Linked DNA regions of Lepisosteus oculatus. The protein of the gene in region 1 binds, or shares a complex with, the protein of each later gene. Links are inferred from orthologs where the notes say so. Each region holds a gene or a part of one and is shown on either strand. Other genes may lie near its edges.

Region 1 (10,999 bases):
ATTCCAAGCATTTCAGAAAACAAAATGAACACCAGACTTAAACCGGTGCTCACATGTTATGATTATGAGATTTCGTTTTTTTATTTCATTTTATTCTATATTCTTATTAATAAACAAAACTAATGGAAAAGTAATTAATTACAGTTTAGATAATGTTTTCATTCAAATCTTGATGAAACCCTACAAAAACAAGGATCGTGCTTCAGGCATTAACAAGTTACTTTGTTCTTCCTAAAAACAAGCGTTCAGATAGCTGTTTTATGATTTATCAGCCTTAACGATTTTCATTTCATAACTGACTTCAACATCAGTTTCGACAGATGAGAATCTTTAGTGGAAATGGTCGGGCTGCACAAACAGCAAAACGCATCTCATTGAAGGTTTACAGCCGAACTACCTAAACAGATTATTTTTCCACTAGAAAATGTATACCGATTTACTCTCTTTCATTAACGCTTTAAAGGAAGACAAACAATGGCCTTGGGTGACGCTACGTTATCATGAAACGAACCTTTTTTGAAAAAGGTGGGTAGCTGCGTCAGCATGCGTAGGCTGCAAAGGAACAGTAGCGGGAGAACAAAGGTTGGGAGGGAGGAGGAGTGAGAGGCGGGCCAATCAAGAGGTGTGAAGTCAGAATGGGTGCAGAGAGGTGTGAAATGAAACTTCCAATGAATGGAGAAAATTTAAAAGAACAGTAATCTGTCGTTAAGGGAAGGTCTTAACGACAGATTACTGTTCTTTTAAATTTCCAACCTCCCAACCTTTGTTCTCCCGCTACTTTACCTTTGCCTACTGCCCTGTCTCTCTCACACCTGAAGAAGGCTCCACGGCCGAAACGTTGTGTTCTCTTTCTTCTTTTTTTTCAGCATGGAATAAACCTATTACTTGTTCCTTTTTTGAAAAAGATTTATTCTGGTTACAAAGAATATGAAATCAGTTACGTGCTTCTCCAATACCTAGTGACTGTTCTTACTTATGGCACTGTTACCTGGAACAAAGGGTTGGGTTTCTCGGACACTGCAGAAGAGGTCTTGTCTGCCCAGCTGTCCAAGGGCCTGGAGGTCTGGTTGAGGGGCTCGTGGAAGCGGGCAGCCAACGCTGGCCTGGCAGCATCCATGCTCTGCTCCTGCTGGACCAGCTGCAATCTGTGCAGCAGCTCATGGGGGGAAACCACCCCCGAAACTGAGTGCTGGGGGGCGGCGGCCACCAGCGGTGGTTTGCTGGGGCTAAAATAAAGCGCCTGGGACTGGTGGGCACCACTGAAGCTCAGTGGCTCTGCACGGTCCGGCTTGACTACGGGGAGTCTGTGCAGCAGGTTGGGTGCGGTCTGGAGCTGAGGAGGTGGGTGAGCGCAGCAGGGAGCGGGAGGCTGGAACAATCTTTGCAGTGGGTCTCTGCTCGCACAGGGGGCCACTGCGGGGGGCTGCAGGCCCCCGTTTTCACACAGCCGGTTTTCGGGAGACTCTGAAACTGGCTGCAGCTCCACAGCCCCGCGGTGCGTCATCAGCTTCTGGATGGCAGGACAGTGCTGAGGGGGGCTGCCCACCGCTGTCTTGCCCATCACTTGCGCTGGCTCCTCATAGGAGAGGGATCGTGCCACGGCAGGGCGACCCCCAACTTTACAGCCAGCCGCCTGCGCCCTGTTGTCGCCTGCACCTGGGGAGACAGGCTCCTGTTTGTCTTGCACTCCAAAGAGGGCAGCGAGGGATAAATGCTTGGGCTCAGTCTCACCGTCCTTTAAGAGAAGATAAGACAAGACAAGCTATTTACCATCAACAAGGTGTAGCATGTTTTACCAACTGACATGGCTATTATGGTTATATTATGGAATTGACATGGCTATAGAACATGGCACTGATGGTTAGAAATCAAGAAAACAGTCCAGTATGGAGAATTGCCCCAGAAAATGTTTCTCAAAGAGTCTAAGATTTATGCTTCAATGCAAAAAGAACTATCATTCAACTGTGAAGACAAAGCACCACCTTTAAGGTACACAGTGGAAAGAGGAGATAACGTGCAGTGTTCCTTTTCCCTTCCAGTGCCTTAAAAAGGACTACATTTCAGTGTCTTCCTCATGAAAGTTAATATACTTTAATAAATTCTCCAATAATAGTGATGAAACAGATTATCTGGTAGCATTAAAGGACAGAACATTTTCCACAGATTTAAAGCGGATGACTGCAAACGAGAACAGATTACATTTTAAATCTAATTGAACACTTTCTAATTAAATAGAGAGTTACTGAAAAAAATCAATGCATATTTTTTTAACACATGAATGACAGGACAGGTAAATGAAAAGTGGACTATAATATTATACAAATTATAAAGTGGACTACAGTCTCAGAATGAAACACTGGTTGGATCCCCAGAAAATCCTAGAAAGTGCTAAAAATCTGCACCCATTTTGCATACACTAAAGATTAATGGCTCTTCTGCAAGTCCCAAGGCAGATACAAATACCTTGGGGAGCTGCTGAGAACTGTAGGCTCTTTCAATGGGCTTTACGGGGATCGGCTTGATCAGGTTGGGGTTGTCATAGATCACACTACTGCCAGCGATCTCCTTCGGCTCAGGCTTACTCTACGAAAGGCAGAGAATTTAATGAGGGCAAAGATCACAAGTCATTATCAGCTCCTGTTTTCACCGCTCAAGAAGATCAATCAAGTCTTGCATCTTGTTATGACGGCTCCATCCTGTGGCAATAAGCACTGTAACCGTCACAAAATTAAGAAATCTGCACTGATGGGACGGTGCGGTGGCTCTGTGGCTAAGGATCAGCGCCTGTGGCTGGAAGGTTGCCGGTTCATATCCTGCAGCTGGCAGAGGAATCCTACTCCGTTGGGCCCCTGATCAAGGCCCTTAACCCCAACTACTCCAGGGGCGTCGCATAAATCGCAAACCCTGTGCTCTGGCCCCAATCTTCTCTCCCTGTCTGTGTGTCTCATGGAGAGCAAGTTGGGGTATACGAAAAGACAAATTCCTAATACAAGAAATTATCTTATATAATGTCTTTTCAAAAGCAAATATTCCTGAAATGTCATTAAAAATAACACCAAGCATTAAGAGGAAAGAAGAACAAAGGAGAAGAGGACCTTCGCAAAAAAGAAAGAAGAGAACAAAGAAGATTACAAAATATGATGAAGCAGAAAATATCTTGTAAACTGCTGCTATGCCTTATTAATCCCAGACAGTTAATGCTCAATAAGGAAGCAGGTATCCTATCAGCATTTTCACAGGATAAGAACCTATGGCTTTGGCCAAGCTAAGAAAAGGTTCAGGAATGCATTTTCTTTTTTATTGGTTTGGCTCTTGCAATGTCAAGGTAGTGAGCCTCAGTCCCTTAACACTCACAGTGAAAATGTACATTACTAACGAACAAGAGGAGGACATCTGGCCCATCTAACCTATTTGGAGGTTAGTAGTTAACTGTCCAAGGATTTCATCCAGCCTAACTTCAGAAAAGTTAGGGTATCAGCTTCAACAACATGGCTAAGTAACTTGTTCCAGACTCCCACAACTCTTTGGGTACAGAAGTGTCTCCTGTTCTTGTTTTAAAATGCACTTCCATCTAGTTTACACTTAGAGTCCTCCACTTCATGTTTCACTGTTTAGTGAAGAAATCTGCTGTGTCGACTGTCAGTGCCATTTATTTTGAATATTTTTTTCTTTTGAAGCCTTTTAGTGTAGGATATTTCCTGAAGCCCCAGGATGTAGATTCTCTGGACTGATCCCACAGAAGCAATGTCTTTTCGATGACCCAAATTGTACACAACTGTATAAATGAGGCATTGCTAGTGCATCATACAATCTTCACATAACATCCCTTGCTTTAACTTCTATGCTTTATATATCCTATTATTTGTTAGTTTTTTAATTGCTTCTTCACATTGTCTAGAAGATGTAAATGAGTTGTTAACATAAACACTTGGGTCTTTTTCATAAGAATGAGACAAAAGACAACTTCACAAGTTTTTTTTTTACATGGTGCTTCTTCCTTGTTGTTCTCAACAACCTTTATAAAACTACATGGGGCTCCAATGAGAAGCTTATAACCTACTTTAATGGGAAGCAAATCTCTGCTATTTTTTGTAAATTGGTTCCTCAACACTAGCCCTACTCCAAACACTTCTTGACTTTTGGTACAAAAGTTAATTTTAATACTTTAAAATCTTTTTTTTTCATATGCCTTAGAATCCTCTCAGTACAATTACAGAGAAATGAAGTTATTTTTAGAATTTTATGTTTATGTTAAAAATAAAACAATACTAAATACTTACAGGAATGTAATTTACTCCTTATCAGCTGAGATACACTGTTCTTGGAGCTGAGGGTATCAGTTGACACTAGTGCCACCTAGTGGTATACTAGTAATTAAACCTACCTTGTCATACTCATCCCTGGCCTTGTTCAGCATCTGGAGGATGTCGACCCCTTTACTGTCCCCTGAGTGCAGAGCTTTGGGAGACACGCCTCCCCCATGCTGAGCTTTCAGTTGTTCTTGCTGCGTTAAACTGGAGGAGGAGGAAAGTCACCAGAGCATAATCCATCTAGTATAAACATACTGCACAGAGCTGCAAAGTCCTGAGGCTAAATGTACACTGTTGCTGCACATTTGTAAGAGTGCATTTTACAAAATCAAACTATACCGCCCTGCAGTGCAGAACGCACTTGATTGCCATATAATTATCATTTGCTTGAAACTGTCTCTATACCACAGAGCCAATTTCAGAAATAATACTCTCAATTTAGCCTCCTGAGCCACTGCCTCACACAGAACAAGAAGGAGAAGCACTTACAGTGTCTGAGGAAACACTAAAACATAATTGATTGTTAAACACTGTATAGGTAATTTTATCTAAAGGGTAGACATACACCTTATAAATGTGTACTATAATGATTAAATGAGACATGAAGATGAATAATAATATCAGTTCAGGTGGGTAGCTGCATCAGCATGCGTGCATAGGCTGCAAAGGAACAAGTAATAGGTTTATTCCATGCTGAAAAAAGAAGAAAGAAAACACAATGTTTCGGCTGTGGAGCCTTCTTCAGGTGTGAGAAAGATAGGGCAGTCAGCAAAGAACATATAGTGTTGGAAAACAAAACCCAGGAGAGAGGAGGAGGCGGGAGCAGGGGAGAGGCAAAGTGGCCAATCAAGTGGTGCGAGGTCGCGAGAGGGGAGGAGAGGTGTGAAATGAAACCTACACATGAATAGAGAGAATAAGAAGGAAACAAGTCTATCGTTGAGAGAAGGGGGAAGGTGTGAACCAAGTTTCAGGATAATTTTAGTTTCTGATTTCCTTCTGCTGTCGAGTTAACAAACCCTACTTTGAGAACGCAGACGGAGAGATCAGTGTGATCATGGCCGTCAGAGGTGAAATGAGAAATGATGGGCTTGGAGAGATCTTCAATCTTCACAGCCTGCCCAATTTTGGCAACCTACTGAATAGTAGGTGTGTTGTTGGGAGTTCAGTAATCTACCAAACTGATTTAATTGAGAACCCCAGTCTCCTTGTACTGGTGGAAGGCAAATTCAGTGGCCCAGATTTTTTCTGTGTCATGTTGTAGAGTATAAAGTTATCCCACAATGATGCAGCACATTATGATTTGCAGTTTGGGATAGTATTTTTTTTGTTCTGCTCTTGATTTTCCCTTGAGGTTAACAGGCTTTATTTTAAGATTTAATATTGCAAAAAATTGTAATGGCCTAATTTTTTTTAATGGTCCAGACAGTGACAAGTGCACATTTGAAAAGTGTATATAGATATACATTGTATTTCTTAAAAAATGATCCACTTATTTCAATCAAAGACATTTAAGTTCAAATTTACACATTCTCCGTGGCTTCTATTAATGTCCTATAATCTACAGAGGGGAATGCTTAAATGATCTGATTAAGACGACAGCAAAAGATAACAAATGCCCACAGGTGTTTCCTGGAAAAACTAAAAATAACACCTATATTTTAGGAGGCTGTAACTGATAAGATTAAGGTTATCTCATCTTTCACAGTGTAGCAACAAGACCAAACCAAAGACACTGTATTGTGTGGCTTTAAAGTACAGAGGATAGGGAAAGGAGAGCAAATAAACAATTGCAAAACCTTATTGTGCCTTGCAAGTATTTAGCTAGATCCCATGAGTGCTGAATCATCATTCTTCCATAACAGGTAGGCTCTAAATTAATATTCTGACACAAAAATGAACGTCAGGAATGTTCCCCCATGCTGAGACTTTGACAAGCATAACATTTTGTGCAAGGCATGTAAATGGATTTCTGATCCACTGTTGCCAAGGCATGTATAATACAGAACACCATCACCTCCTAACCACTGATCCAGATTTTGAGCGAGCATTTGAAAAGAAGAAAGATTAAGTGGGAGAGTGTGGAATGAGACACAGTAACAGGATGACATAATCTTTGGATGGATCACACCACAATACTTCTATAGCTGTGCATAAACAAGAAGTACTGTGACAGCAATTCAAATATTTATGGATATGGACTGGCTGAAAGATGACACAATACAATGTAGAGCTACAAACCGGTGTAATAACTAGATGCAGACAAACAATACATTTGAAATGAACGTACTTCTTCATTAGCTCAGCAATCCGCTGACAGTCCTCCTTGTCATAAAACCAGATCCCATAAATGGACACTGGAAACAAAAAATAACAGACAGATTCTGGTTATAACAGCTCAGGGGACAGGACAGATCTTGATGTTATTTTCAACAAATTCAATTTAATGGTAATATTAAAGACAGAGAAGAACAAAATGTACAGTATTTGGAAAATGTTCAGGTGACAGAGCTGCCCCAAGGGGCTTATCAGCTGGAACTCTTAGGCAGGGATGGAGAGGGCGGGGTCGTAGCCGGGGCTGGAATTTTGGAAAGCCATGCTGCTGAGAGGAAAGGCGAAGCTGATCGGGCTTGGGTCAAGAGCGTCGGTGACAAGCAGACAGTGAACATTTCCCCACACCTCCTCAGATAAATCTTGCAAACAGAAGTGAGAGAGACAGGGCAGCCAAAAAATGTGGAAGATAAAAGAGAAAAACAAAGCGGGCAAGTAGAGGGGCTGAGGCGGCAGATAACTTAAGAAATATCCTGACAAAGGCAGACCGATACTGCCAGCGGACCTCTGAAGAGGTACAGTGCCGTGTAACGTCGCCAGCTTCGTGAACCTCAGTTGTGTGGGATTCTGCTCCTGAACACCGGCTTGGTCACGCTTAAGGATTACATGAAATTGTTTCTCTGACTGAAACTGGCACGGAGTTTTTTATATGACACATGAATACAGAAAACCAGGTGAGAGGGCACAAAGGATTCTAAGGATTTTGATTTGTGTTCTTCATTATACACCACAGTGGTGATAGATCATGTTTCAGAAGGCATTCACCCTGCATAGAAAGCCCAGGCACCAGCGCTTGCCACCAGAGCCAGATGCCAAATACAAAGGAAAACTTGTGTCCGAGACGCAACTCAACTATACCTATGTCCGCCCTGGAGGTAAGATCATTGCTAATTACAGACTATTCTTGAAACTATATTCTCTAATGTTCTAGAATGTGATTTGTGGCTTTTTTACTCCTTTTACAAAGTACAATTACATTTTGCACAACACAGTATTTGAGAACAGATTAGATGTTTTATTCTAACTTACAATAAGTTATTCTATGAAGAATGTCTTTTTATCACTTTTCAAAGGGATTGTTAAGTCTTTCTATTAAGTCTTATGTCACTGAAATCAGCATGAAATTATGTTTAGCGGTTCAATTACAAAGACACTCTGCCACAAAAATATTCCTTTGCTAGGCCACTCTAGGTTACCGAGTATAAAACCATCTGATTACAAAGGTCTAAAAAAAGGCTTTTTTAAAAAACCCTTACAGGTGTTGCCTCTGAAGTTCTGAATGAATGGTTATTTTAGGGATGTCAGAATCTCAGTTAAAATATCCCAGTTAATTAAGAAAGACAATCTCAAAACATGAAGAAAACGTAAAGGGTAGCTTGTCATTCAGTATGACTCGTGATTTCGAGGTGAAAAAAAGCAAATCGCTGGCAAGTGCCCCAGTAGAAATTACTTGCACTTTCTACCATATTTAGACTCTGTGATAAAACTGAAAATGCCTCTATGTGTCAACTTAAACAGCCCCAGCCCTCTAAATAGGAGCAAATAAAATACAGTTACTTGAATTATGAGATCTATCAATTAATAATGAGGCTGCCACTTACTGCAATACACCACAGCCATTTAAGTTCATCATAGTGAATCAAGACTTACAGTGGGCACTGCATGTGAAGGGGCTTCATGTGTATTTGAGAACTGTCTTTATCTTATCTCGGTTGGCTTGGTTTCTGGTGTTGGCAGGACACTCAAGAGAGAAGCCCAGACACGCAAGCTCACTGCCCACCAAAATACCTTTGCACCATAAAAGGAGACGAAAGTCCTTTATGAGCAAACTGGTCTCAAGCTACTATGATTATCACCAATCTCCCTATTTTTATATGTATTTGAGTGCTTTATGCTTTGAAAAGAAAATGAGACTTAAACGTTTTGCTCAATTCCTCTTGAAAACTTACAAAAGGGAAACATTCCTATTTTTTAAAATTTATCACCATCTCCTTCTGACATATTCTTCATTCATTATCGTCCTCCTTATTAAGCCACAAACCAATTCTTCCAACCAGTTTTATGATCTGTAAAATCATGTTATGTGCCTTTAGCCATTAGCTGTTTTTCAGAGACGTTTCAAAATTCCTTGTAACATTTTATGGATATTCTACTTGGTTTTGCATGGGTATAGTGGGTACTGGGTACAGTGCTGGTCATTTCCAGTTTTCTTGTGCTTTTCCGTTTCAGATCGGGGCGTGGTTCCTTCTGACTCATCTTTAATTTTGTACATCCTTCTACTTAATTTCCGCACTTAAGAGAATAGTCTTCAGTCTTGTCTGCTGTGAAAGCAGGTGTTGATTATAAAGGGCTGCAATCATCACCATGCAGAACACCTCTGTAACCGTTCATCCGGCTCCTTTTCACCTCACAGGTTACACTCCTGGTGTGCTGCAGCTACATAAATGGCTTTGGTGGTGGATAAGGGAGATAAAATGCCATGTCAAATCGCTGGTGTTCTCAGCAGGGACACTAAAACCCCATAAAAAAAGTTTAAAATAACCTGCTTGTCACAGACTTTTCCCATATTAAATATATAACCTTGACGGTATTTACAGCATTTCTGAAATGTGATTTGACAGCCGGTGGACCCCGTCAGTAATTTTATCAACCTGCTACAGAAACACATCTTGCAGCACTAGAAAATTTGTATCTGGGTGCATATTTCTATCCTTCCATGGTAACAGTTTTGAGCAGATTTCAACATGTATTCAAAGTGTATTACTATAAAGGAACAAGTAATAGGTTTATTCCATGCTGAAGAAAAGAAGAAAGAAAACACAACGTTTCGGCCGTGGAGCCTTCTTCAGGTGTGAGAAAGACAAGGCAGTAGGCAACGGTAATGTAGCAGGAGAACAAAGGCTGGGAGAGAGGAGGAGCGAGAGGTGGGAGCAGGGGACAGAAAGAGAGGCCAATTAAGAGGTGTGAAGTCAGAATAGGTGTAGAGAGGTGTGAAATGAAACCTCTAATGAATGAAGAAAATTTAGAAGAAAAGTAGTATGTCGTTAAGAGAAGGGGGAAGGTCTGACCCTAGCTGCAGGATAATTTTGGTTTCGGTAGTCTTTCTGATGTATGAGTTTGGAAAACCATCTTTGAGAACACAGACGGAGAGATTAGAGTGGTCGTGGCCGTCAGAGGTGAAATAAGAAACAACAGACTTGGAGAGATCTTTAATCTTCACAGCCCTGATGTGTTCTCTGAAGACGGCCCCGACGGCCATGACCATTGCAAACAATGTTGTGTTTGCTTTCTTCTTTTTTTCAGCATGGAATAAACCTATTACTTGTTCCTTTGCAGCCTATGCATGCTGACGCAGCTACCCACACGTATTACTATATGTCGTTTAATTATTATATTGCTATTAATTTCTCCAAATTTAATTTAGGAATATGGTGCCTGATAATGTCTATATTCCTCACTAAAGAGTTCATGCACCAGTCTATGCATATGGACTGTGTGTGGAGTAAATAGAAAGACCATGTTTTTCTTCAGAGTGCCCCAGCCATTTTTGAGGATTTTTTTTTGGATGGACTTACAAGCTTCTTGACCTTTTTTGCTAGCAAAAAAAATGAATAATTGTTTCCAGCAGTGTTAATACATTTTATCACATACTTACAACGGGCATTCCTGTAGAGCAGGAAAGGGTCCTGCAGCTGAAAGTCCAGATCCTTGGTTATTGGCTCAGTGAGGTTGTCCATACTCAGGCGATTCATTATGGTGAAGCCATGCCTGGGGGAGGCAGACCTAAGACCAGAATAAAACAGGAAAAATCAGGGCAAAATTTCATTGTGTTGTTTGGAGCTCTAAGCATAAGGCAATGGATCAAGTTAAAAAGTCCTTGCAGAAATTCTTTAAAGACAAACATGGATTTAAAAATCAAAATTTTGTACAGCACTGGGTTTAACATGCACATGAGATCTTCACTTTTTAAGGTGATCTATCCTGCATCCAAGAAATGAAGAAAAACAGACTGGTGTAGAGTGTTTGTGAAAGCCAAAACATAAACAGTAGGAGAGTAACCCCGGCAGTGTCCTGGCCAGATTTCCCCTTGGCCTTTACCAATCATGGCCTCCTAATAATGCCCTTCTATGAATTGACTTCATTACTCTGCTCTCCTCCCCACTGATAGCTGATGTGTGGTGAGCGTTCTGGCGCACTATGGCCGCCGTCGCATCAGGCGAAAGAGTGACGCTTTCTGCCCCACCAACACAACCTACTACAGCAACCTGCTTTTCCTAGTGGATTACAGTCCTAGTTGGTACTAATCACTACCTACATTCCTTGATTTGATTGATCTAACAAGAGACTCTAAATTGTATTTC
Region 2 (11,299 bases), on another chromosome or scaffold:
TCTCTAATGGTTTGTGAGCTGGATGGGCCTCGGACAGGGAGCAGTCCCTGCTGGGCTCCTTGCTCTGCATGAAGTATGTGTGCTATGTGAGCCCAGCACACATGGCTCTGTCACTCACTGGTGTTTGGAACTTCAGGGAAAAACTTGGCTCTGCAGCTTCTTTTTATTGGGACAGCTGGCCATTGACTGAAGCCTAAAATTATCCAACCACATGCTGGAGGAAGAACCAAAGTCCCTTTCTGCAGATACAGTACATTAATGTGGTTGTTGCAATCATATATACTGTTTATGTAATTAAGATTTTCTCTGTGTCTGTCTGGCTACTAATGAGTAGTCCTTCATGCTCGCTTTCAGCAGACAGGGGATCTCAGGAGTGCTCGGACGAAGTCAAGCAAGCCAAAGGCAACCCGTTCCCAGCGGAAAGAGAGACAAACACACCTCTCTCTCAGCACTTCACCTGGAAACCCGTAACCTCTAGTTTATAGTCTGTTTGTGTTCAGCTTCGTTTCTTATGCAAAATTGAAGGCTGAAAAACAGTTGTATGAGATCCTTGGGTCATTTAGCTATTACCATCTAAACATGCCAGACTGGCCACATGTCCACCCCTCATTGATAACCTTTCTCAAGTTCATCTGTTCCTACACAGACGCAGAACTGACAAATTGTTCTTTTAGTGAAATGCCCAGAATTTCTTCACCTTAAAAGCTACATCTGGAGAAATTGCTGTTATATCTTGTAGTCAGTATTGAGCCCATAGACCCGTACTGGATTTATTTTTAAAAAAAGCAGAGCTCTAAAATAGTACAGCCTGACCCCTCTTAGGCTCCAAAACTACCATGATACTGCTGTAGTGCCCTGATGATATCTGCATGCGCTGTATCAGGCGGACTTTGACATTTCGAAACCGTCCTGTCTTTATGATACCAGGTAAAAAACAACAGCAAAGCAATACTGTTGTACAGCACCCAAGAAAACCTCTGCTTATTTTTTAATAAAGCGAAGGTGCCTCAGTAAACTTCAGCCTGCGCTGGAGAGCACTGGGTTATTTCTGTCCTGGCAGCCCTGCCCACTGTAGCCTCATGCACGCAAGGTGGTCTCATACCAGCTGGCCCCGTCCAGATCTCTGGGTGATTAGAAATGTTCTGCTCCCCGGGGAGCTCATACATGAACACGCACTAATGCACAGTAGCTGTTCATGCCAGATTATATCCGAAGCAACTCACATTTGTGTCCGTTCATACAGCTGCGCATTTTACTGAAGCAATCTGAGTGATGTGCCTCACTCAGGGGTGACAGCGCCACATGTTGAACCCATAGCTTTTCTGGATCTGGGTCTAGAGTCCTAGCCATTATTCTACACTGCTGCCTATATATAGTTTTCATCAAATGAAACCTCCAAAACAGGAACCCCTATTGCACACATTTTGCACAAAGCATGCAGAGCTTCTCTGTTTCCCCAACTGTTCTTTTTCACCTGCCTTGTCTTATTAACACTGTCTTATTAAATTGGGCGGTTTTTTGAATCAGTTCCACTGTCATTTTCTTCGGTCTCTACTCGCTGCTTCTCCCTGCGTCTGTTTCATTGAACGAGCTTAAGCAAGCCGACACACTGCGCTGCCCCAGGCCGCTAACGGAAAAGTGAAGACTCTCAACCCTCCAAAGACAATCCAGTGGCAGAGTACGATGAAAGGAAGGGAGACTGCGGAAAGCAAATTAAAAACCGAAGGAGCAGGCAAAGCAGGGCACTAGAAAGAGAGGTTGTCCTCACTCCAAAACAAACTAAAAGGGCTGAATGACTTTCGTTATGTTTTTTATGTGTTGCAAAGCAGGTCACAAAACTGGGATAGCTTGATAAGGATTGGACTAGTAACAACATGTAACGGCAGAAGTCTCCGTTTTGCTAGAAAGCTGTGAAAAATCACATTGTGAACCTGCAGGATGCCTTTGAAACGCTCAGAAGCATGAGGGTCTGTGGTTTTCTGTCTCTGCGGCGACGAGTTCAGAGCTGTTCTGCACAGCCCTTGGCTGTTCCACTTGTGAGGGGATTCTGTGTGCAGATCTCTCACAAGACTCGTGCGTGTAATGTCCTTTAACTTCATTTTTTCAACGCACAGCGAGGGAGCTCTGCGCTGAGGGAGGGCTGGCCGGCTGCAGATTCGGCACACTGCGGCGGCTGTAGGAAGAGCCCTCAGCCCTATCAAGCAGGGAAACGGGAAGCAATTGCAGTGGAGTTGTAGCTGAGGTACTGGATGCGAGTAATTCAAAGAAAAAAAATGCAACTTTACTTGAAACAGCCCAGGTGAGACACAGTGAAACATAGGGTTGATCTTTAAACATTTTTTGAATGACACAATATTCACAGTTCACTGAATATTCACTTATGATCCTCTTCTTTCCACCTTGGGTTTGGGGGCTTTTCTCTAGGTGCTGTAAGTGCTGGAGGCAGAAGAGAGCTTTTCCCAAATATGTGCTGCGGTTAAATGCTTCACTTCATGAAAAAAAAAAACTGAGGCCACATTTCTCTTTTTTAACAGACCCTGCTTTATGAAGACATGTCTTTTTCAACCAGGGGGCATTTAACGCCATAGACTTAAGTCTTAGGGAAGAAGAGAGAAAAGCAAATGCCATTCTTTCTTTCTTAAAAGCTATTAGACAATTGTTTGCCAATCAAATCGGATGGGTTAATGGTGCACATTTACCATTGCTCATGCAATAATTCTTTTTTTGATGCACTACTACAAAAGTGTGCAAAGTGAGACCTATTGCTCTGTGACTGTAAATAGTGTTTTTAGGCAAACAGAGACCTCTCCCAGCTCCTATCTCACCCAGATATTGGAAGCCAGGTCAGCCAAATATACAAACAGGCTCCTTTTTAAGAGCTCTGTCTTCCATGGTACCATGCCATCTTGTTTTGCAAACATATAACACACATACCGACACAGACAATTACTTGCTTCAGTTCACTGCACATAAATTGTGCATTTAAAGGGGCCCTTGTGACAATGAAGAGCCTCATTTTCTTTTTTCTTTTGCAAATAAATCTTTCAGGCAAAACATTTCTATGTCTACTCTTGTAGTTCATGATGAAAAGGAGCTGGGGTTGTGTGTTGCTTTATGATTTGCATCAAATGAATCTCTGCTCTTCTGGTATTAAGGTTCCTTCTCTATCAGAAATCTCTCAGTGGTGAGTTGTCTTACCGTCTGTGTTAAAAAGACGCTGTTTCAGCAGAAGAGCCTGTTTCAGTTTCTAACAAGCAGACCAGTGGGCTGGCTTGTCTGTGACTGGTGGCACAGAGTTGTCATCGCAGGACTTTTCTTGGGATGTTACAGCACAACACGTGTGAAGAACAGGGAAGACCTCTGCTCTTTTGTTAGGCTGAAGTTGCATAAATCATGTTTGTACGGATGTTGGTTTTGTCTAAATCATGAACACTAGTTTCATTAAAATGTGCGTGGAGCATTTTTTTTGTTAAAAAGGATTAATAGTGCTGATTTTTAAAGACTGTTTTTCGCCATTGCCGTGATTATCTGAATATTCTGTGCGTCCGATCGGTATTCTCAATAACGTAGTGTTTTCCCATTTTGGGCTACAGACAAGCTAATGGATAGATGTACATATACAATACCCACAACTCTTCTATGTATAAAGTGTATGTGACTGTACGTACTGCAGCTGGTCTTGGAGGAATTTGAATTTGAATTCGAACTCCGGGTGTAGTGAGTGATCCCGCTTGTCTGCGTGAGCGAGGTTTCCAGGTCCTGAGCGCCCGAGCTGGCTCTGACCGGGGCGCGAGGAGCACACCCACAGGGAGAGGCGCGGTGCCCAGATGTTTATCTGTCAACCCTGCCAAACTAACGCTGTAACAGCGCCTTCCTCCTGGAGCAGCCCTGCAGCCCTGCTGGGTTAGAGCCCCTCGCTCTCTCTGTCCTTTCACACGGCCCCGCACCTCGGTGTTACCCCTGGTGGGCCTGGGGCCCAGAGCGCTCAGAGACGGAAGGGTCTTACCTCCAGGCAGACTGATGGGCCCGCAGCCCTTGCCCCTAGGGTCCGGCTCCTCCATGTAGATGGTCTTTTTACAGAGCCTCCAGAGTCCGAAGTGAGCCGCTTCGCACGTCGTGTTGAGGCGCTCGACCCGCGGGCTCAGAACCGCCCAGTGATCCGTCGTCACGGCGGCGAACATGGCGGAGATCCCGACAAGGATGACGAAGAACGCTATCCTCACCTTGGTGGTCTTGTCCTCCAGCATGGCTCTGCTTGTCGGTTCTCACTGGAGCGGGGGTTTTTTTTTCTTGCCTCACAGCCTCACCTCCGCCGCTCTGCCTGTGGACTCTGCAGACCTCTCCTTAAGCCTCCACTCCCACGTCCCCTCTGCTCGCAGCTTCAGCCCACTCCAAATCCCTGTCGCTCGTTGGGAGGAAAAAAAAAAGTGGCCAGAAAACAGTGCCCTAGTTTTCTTTTCCTCTCTCTCTCCTCATGGAGTGAGGAGGAGTGTGGTTCAGACTACAGCTGTTGATGCATATCAGAAAAGTTGATGACCACACTGGCTGCCTGTGATGGGCGGGTAGCTGCTGCTATTAATGTGAGCTGTGAGTCAGGTTGTCAGGATGTCCACTTATCAGGTTTCGTCTCTATGTTTTCTCAGCATGCCCGTTAAGCACAGGGCTGTGGCCGTCTGCTAAACTACAAGTACTTCATTAATCACCGAGAAGAGTGTGGGCATAGTTTTTGAGGTTTCTGCTGTGTGTTGCTGAGTTTTCTACAGTTAATATAAAGCCTCGATTTTCCTGGTGTTGTTGTGTTAGTGCAAAGTGAAAACGACTGAGTCTGAATTTCTTTTCTCCTTCCTTGAAATCACTTTGCAATATCTCTCTCCTTAATTTTTGGAACAAAGGGAATAATAGTTTTTTAATGCATTTCTTAGTTGCATTCGAATTTTATTTTCTGATGAGCTTTATGAGGATAGCTTGGATAACCTGAATGTGTGAAAAGCTCTGTTTTGTTCTGAAGAGTGCAGTCTGTGTTCACAGTCTTGATTTGTCCCCATTTACTGAACTTTTATTCAATTGCATCATCATAGTATTCTTAACATTCCTAATCTAAACTTTATTCCCACCAGGCACTTAGTTTAAATGCTACTATAAACTATTTATACAGAGAAATCTGTGTCTAAACAACAGCTGTTGGTTTTCGCAGACATGCAAACGTGCTGTCATTGCTCTCAGAGATGCAGGAGGTGTATTTGTTACCATAAATTAGCTTCTCATTAAACAGAACATTTCAGATCTCCGATCTACAGGCACTTAACGTTTGACGGATAAACAGATGGGAAACTATGGGCCTTATATCATCCTTGTTGTTATTGGAGTGAAAGGGGAAGATGTGACCCTTGTCACACCAGTGATAAAATAGTTTCTGGCATAGCATCACGTAGAGCTGTTTCTATTCATGCTGTAGAAATAAATGGGAAACAGGAAAGTCTGAGCCTCTGTTTAAGACACTTTGGTACGCACGGTGAGTATGTTAGATAAAGGACTGTCTGTGTAACTGCTATTGTAAGTAAAAAAGAAAGTTGGCTTCTAGAATGTGTTAAATTCAAAATCATCCCGGTGCCCCTAACCTCTGATCCTAGTAGTTGTCTCTCCAGCACTTTTCCGTAAACCCTAGGAATTGCTGTGTAGTAGCATACAACTGTGGACATTGTAATCGTAGAGGACTGCTATGAGGTGCTGGGGGTCTGGGAGGTTCCCCTACCAAGATGACAGCCCTTAAAGAGACATCTCCATTGTTGGTGAATGGAACCTGTGTCAAATACCAGTGGGGCTGATTCGGACCCTGCGCGAGGCAGGAGTGAGAGAGAGTGCGTGTTCCATTACCGAAGTCCAAATCGGAAAGCAGTGCTGTGGTCAGGAAGGAGGGCGGAGATCCGCTATCCAGAGAGCAGAGTCCGAACACCGAATCCGGTCGGTGAGGCAGGTCCGTAGTCGGTGGTGAAGGCAGTGTCCGTTATCCAAAAAGTAGTGCGACAAACAGGCGGCAAAAGGTTAAACTCAGGTGGGTTGAACTCAATGGTGAGCATGGAGAGGGCAGGTAGAAAGGTTTAAGAAGAACAGAAGGGGAGACGTGGTGGGATAGCAGGTTAATTGCAGTGAAGAGAGCGTGGTGGAATGTGGTGGCGAGTGCGTGGAAACTGTCCTACAGCTCCCCCTGGCCCAGTGTGAAGAAGGACTGCACCCTGTCCCAGGCTTGCTTAACCCAGCACATCGCAGGGACCCCTGCAGAGTGAGGAGAGGTCAGGGGGCCACCTCGGGTTTGGAGCCCTGACTTTCTGGACCCCAGGGCTTGACTCATGGCCGTTGAGAGACGAGTGGGTCTGAGAAGACAGAGGGTCTTCTTGCTCCGAGGGACAACTGGAGCTGAACCGAACCTGCTTTCAGTGTCCTTCGTCCTCCACATTTCCTGTTCGCTCAATGTCAAGCGGCCCTTCACGCCTTCCGCGGTCTGCAGCATATTCTCCATAGGGCACTCCGTAGTGAAGTGCTTTTTATAAATTGTCAGCTGTGCTCTACTTTCTTAGTCTTCTGACCCAATTACTCCTGTGACAATTTAAATAGAGCTTTTGGATTTTAACATGGGATGCCAAAGTGTTTCTGCACTTACAGGTTTCTGTTTGAGATTAGTAATGAAATCTGAAATGATATGCGACTCAGGTGTGCACAAGACAGAGCACTTATGTACAGTAATCACACTGTGGTTGGAGCCTGGGTTCCCAATGCATAATGCATTACAGTGGTAAAACCCAGTTAGATTGGATTCAGAAGCTGGGGAATGCTGGTGGGATATATATTTTGTATTTATGAGATGCAATATAAAAAAAATCCAAATGACAACTTGAACCATTTAATCTCTGTTAAAATGCAGTAGGGGTAGTTCTTGATTCATGTGAATGAATGCGTTCCTGAAAAATGCCGCACAGTTCAGAAATGGGTAAATTAAAAATGAATTCCACAGCAGTTTCACATAAATATGAATGTATATAGGGAGGAAGCATTCTGGGGTTCACCCTCACCCAAAGATTTTAACCCCTTAATAACTAAAATAAGCAAATGTTTCAATATAAGATGCTTATAGAGTTGCACTAAAAGTCATTTGGAAGAAATGTTCGTTAATGTCGATCAATTTCATATGAAACATGAAGTGAAGACTGTTGTTAGGGGAGGGTAGTGAATGGGGTGGAAGCTTATTTGATTTATTCAACGTCATAAATAAGTGCCAGCTTTTCCACATTATTGGACGAGCTCTGATCAAAATGTTATTCGCCTTACCAAGCATTTCTATAGCACGCTTGCTAAACCCTCGTCCCTGCGAGGCGTAGTTCAGGACCCTGTGCAGACGGTATAATCCGGAAGTAAGTGGAGAAGGACAACAGGGAAGGTACAGCAGGCTAGGACGGGTTGGCAGACAGGAGAGCGTGACGACAGTGATCCGGCGCTCGGGGGGCGTGGCATGGGCAAACGAGTCCAGACAGTCCAAGGGGGAATCTGGGGCACAGTCCAGGAACTGGGAGATCCATCCGAGACAAACAAGGTTAAAATCCGGAATGGGATCCGGAACAGGAACAGGGAATAAAACCAGGGTGACGAGGCCAGGCGCTCTGAGCCCTGGACTCAGATGGTCAGGATGCTGCTGGTAGGCGGGCTTCTGGGCATCCATCCCTCAGTGCTGAGCCAGGACTAGTGAGACCGCCAGGCTTAAATAGTGTCAGGCTAAACAGGGGGCAGGTGCACGAAATGAACTAAAATACGAAAGGGTCGGAGCGCCCTTAAGAGGAGGGATGACGATTCTGACAGCGCCTTAACACAACTTAACGCTAACAGCAAGAGTGAGTTAGGGAAAATGTGTTCCTTCGCATACAGGCCGATACTGGGTACACGCAGAATACACTCTCTAAGACTTTGTGGCCAAGCATGTTAAAGTAAGAGTTATTCTGTTCTAAATGAGGAAATATATTATAAGGAGCACTAAATTGGAAACAAGCAAATTAAGGGAACATAAACAAAGAACTACCTGTCTGTCTTCACATTATGGTGGCACAGTGGTATATTGTTAATTACTGCTGCCTGGTAGTTCTTGAGTCCTCAACTTGATTCCATACTGTGCATGTTCTCTCCGTGCTGACCTGTGATTGTGTCTATATGTGGGCACCCTGGAATATACAGGCAACCCCCGGGGCCTTCTGCAAGCTCAGGAGAAGAGCTTTTCCTCCGTCTCTCCACCTCCTTCTTTCAGCTTTCCTATAGACAATTTCACCCCCCCTCTCTCTTTTGGGTAGCTGAAGGGTCTTCTGCAGTCAGCAGATTTACTGCTCATGTCTCTGGGTAGACAGCCTCTTATTCCTTGGCCATCTGCCTGAAATAAGGACCCAGGAATGAGAATTCCTAGAATTCCAACCTGCAGTCAGACCACAGGCTGACACTGAGAGTCTCAATAGAAAGCACTATTGCCCAAGGTATGGCAGCACACCACAGGGATACAAAGCTGACCAGAATCCAGTGAGCACATTTGTTGAGGTGGAGTGTGAAAGGTTATCTACCCATCCATTCACAATCACAGTTATCTCTTCTCTGATGCCCTTCAAAATGTCATGCTGTATATAAGCTAACTTTGCTGCTTTTGGTCTGATGGCATTGTAGATTGTTTTAAAAATCTATTACTGTCCCTCCCTCACTGCAATGATGTTAGTTTATCTTTCCCAGTTCTCTTCATCATGACTTGAGCAAAATGCTTTTACTCTGTAAGTGTGGATATAAACAGATCTATGCAAAGGCTGAAAGTCTGAAGAGGGAATCTACACCATGCACCTTATTTCCTTGAGACACACAACTTAACTCCAGCAAAAGTAGACTGCAAAAGCCCTAGGGCCATCTGTAACAAGGTCGAGCAAAATTTAGCCGTCTCATATCAAGTAGGTTAAAGCAGTCCTGATATGCCTTCGATGGAGGCTGCAGGAGGAATGGGCTGTTCTAAATATAGGTGTGTACAGTATATGACTGCAGCCATTTTCCCGTTTCTGTAATCTTTCATGTGTCTCTGAAATACTTGACTGACCTTCTGAAGGTGCGATTGTATGTATTTAGCTACCAGTAAGAACAATTACAGCACCATTAACAAAACTTTAAGATGGCACAGTAAATGATTTGGTTTCATTGTACAATTGTTAATGCAGATAATCTTGCCTGCAACACCTGGATTCTAATGCTGAAGGAAGATCCCTGGGACTAGAGGTGAACACGGCTGTCCGCAGTCGAGATCTGGACTCTAGTTTGCCTAAGCACACATGGTGTTGTTGTATTGTTCTCGTTTTTAGTCTGCTAATGTGGATTTAAAGGTCAGGAGATTTCAGGTTTGGTGCTCTGGCGCTTGTGAGTGAGGGACAGAGCGGCTGTCCTCTCCAGTGGACACCCATCACGGAGCACCCTGGGACGCTGTACTGCTGAAGGCACACAGACCGTGTCCCACAAGCTCTCCTTGAGGAGCTCACTTTCCACCTTTTCCATTCATCCATCCATCCTTTTTTCTTACTGCTGATTCCAGTTCAGAGCTGTGGGGGAGTCAGAGCCTATCCCAATAAGCAAAGGGCACTCTGGAGGAGACACCTAGTCCATTGCAGGACACACACCCACACCAGGGCTACTAACTTACCACAGTAGTTGGACTGTAGATGGAAACTGGAGCAAGCAATCCACACGGACACAGGGAGAACTTGTAAACTCCACGCAGATAGCACCGCAGGTCCGCAATTGAATCCAGGACCCTCGCACTGTGAGGCAGCGGTGCTGACCACTGCACCTCCGTGCCACCTTCCATCTTTTCATGTGTGGAACTGCCCATAGACATGTAGTCTACTCGGCTGACAGACAGATTGGTTAGGCACTCAGAGTCAGAGTTGCAAAATGGCAAGCGCTGATTGATGTCCATTCCCATGGTTCAGAGCTTTGCCATTAAAGACGGTATGGGCCTGAAAAATCATTCCTCCATATATGCATCTGTGTCAGTGGTTAAGTACAATATACCATGCTGAAGAGCCATATAAAAGGCAAACTGCTGCTAACTTTGACCTTATATGCATGAGGCAGAATTGTCTCATAGTTCTGCTTTCGTAGCACTGTGAGGAAGAGCCACATAAAAGGCAAACCGCTGCTAACTTTGACCTTATATGCATGAGGCAGAATTAGAAGTCTTGTTACGTAGTTCTGCTTTCGTAGCACTGTGATACAGCCAGAGCTGCATAATATTCACAATTGCCTAATTCCTAGTAAATGCTTAATTTTAAAAGACTTCCTATTTCTGTACGGTAGATGGCTACATGCAGTACATACAAAAGTTGCATATTTGATTCTTTTTATTCATATACAATTGAGGTACAATAATGCTAATACATATTTTGCATTTTTTTAACAGGTCGCTGCGGTCATTATTATAAAGGGAGTGTTTAAGATGACCATGCAGGGGGCCCTGCTGGCATTCCGCAGTGACATGCCTCTGTCTTTGGGATCCCCTGAGGAGCAGCTGCGACCTAGAAAGCCAGCTGGGAGTGACCCCTCCTGCTGTGCCCGGCCACCTCTGCGGACAGCTGCCGTGCAGCCCCCGAGCCCAGGGGGGTCTGCTCAGACAGAGAGCACTTGGTTAACACAGGGTGAGACAGCTCTCTTTCAGGGGTCCTGCTGTGAGGGAAAGTGAGCCTGGGTGCACAGAGGAGATGGCAACCGCAGGCCAAATGACTTTTGCTTTGCTGAGTTTGATGAGGCACCGCGACCGGCCTTGTGACTGTTTGTGCTCTGCTTTTAGATAGATATATACTGTGTAAGACAAGCTGGCCGACTCAGAGAGCAGTGGAAAACAATTCCTTTTTTTTATTGTTTGCTACCCAGTCTAAATAATGATTCTCACGTCACTTTCACTTCTGTTAAAAGCTGTACAGTATATGTGAAGCGTGATTATATTTAGGGATGTTTCCTGTTCCATTTAATCTGTCTGTACTCTTATCCTGTCAAATGCCTTTTATTTCAGCGCCTGCAGTCTAGCTCCTTCATGAGCTGTTTTCAGTTGAACTGCTGATTTATTTTGTTTTATTTTGTGCCCACAGAAAATGGAACGTCCATCTTGTCTCGGCATTTCGGCTCACAGTGGCGGGGCCAGTATGCAACCTGGAGACTGAGGTAAAGCAGAAACTTCATAATCTGACACTGCAAGCACTGCTGGAGGTTCAGTGCAGATTGGAGGACATCACTGACATCACTG

What was found.
Region 2: cacna1c (region 1) and cacng1b share a complex: the UniProt entries of both Homo sapiens proteins name them as parts of the calcium channel complex. The link is inferred for Lepisosteus oculatus from reciprocal best matches to the Homo sapiens genes CACNA1C and CACNG1.

The regions. Positions count from the first base shown.
Region 1 is NC_090702.1:7,863,204-7,874,202, forward strand, and holds the start of cacna1c (voltage-dependent L-type calcium channel subunit alpha-1C), read left to right. Parts: upstream 1-6,959; 5' UTR 6,960-7,383; coding exon 7,384-7,513; intron 7,514-10,293; coding exon of another isoform or gene 10,294-10,421; intron 10,422-10,999. Other genes in the region: dcp1b (mRNA-decapping enzyme 1B), read right to left, coding at 989-1,735, 2,464-2,583, 4,385-4,514, 6,598-6,664, 10,294-10,421. UniProt on the Homo sapiens protein: Pore-forming, alpha-1C subunit of the voltage-gated calcium channel that gives rise to L-type calcium currents. Mediates influx of calcium ions into the cytoplasm, and thereby triggers calcium release from the sarcoplasm.
Region 2 is NC_090704.1:45,908,283-45,919,581, forward strand, and holds the start of cacng1b (voltage-dependent calcium channel gamma-1 subunit), read right to left. Parts: upstream 4,504-11,299; 5' UTR 4,248-4,503; coding exon 4,007-4,247; intron 1-4,006. UniProt on the Homo sapiens protein: Regulatory subunit of the voltage-gated calcium channel that gives rise to L-type calcium currents in skeletal muscle. Regulates channel inactivation kinetics.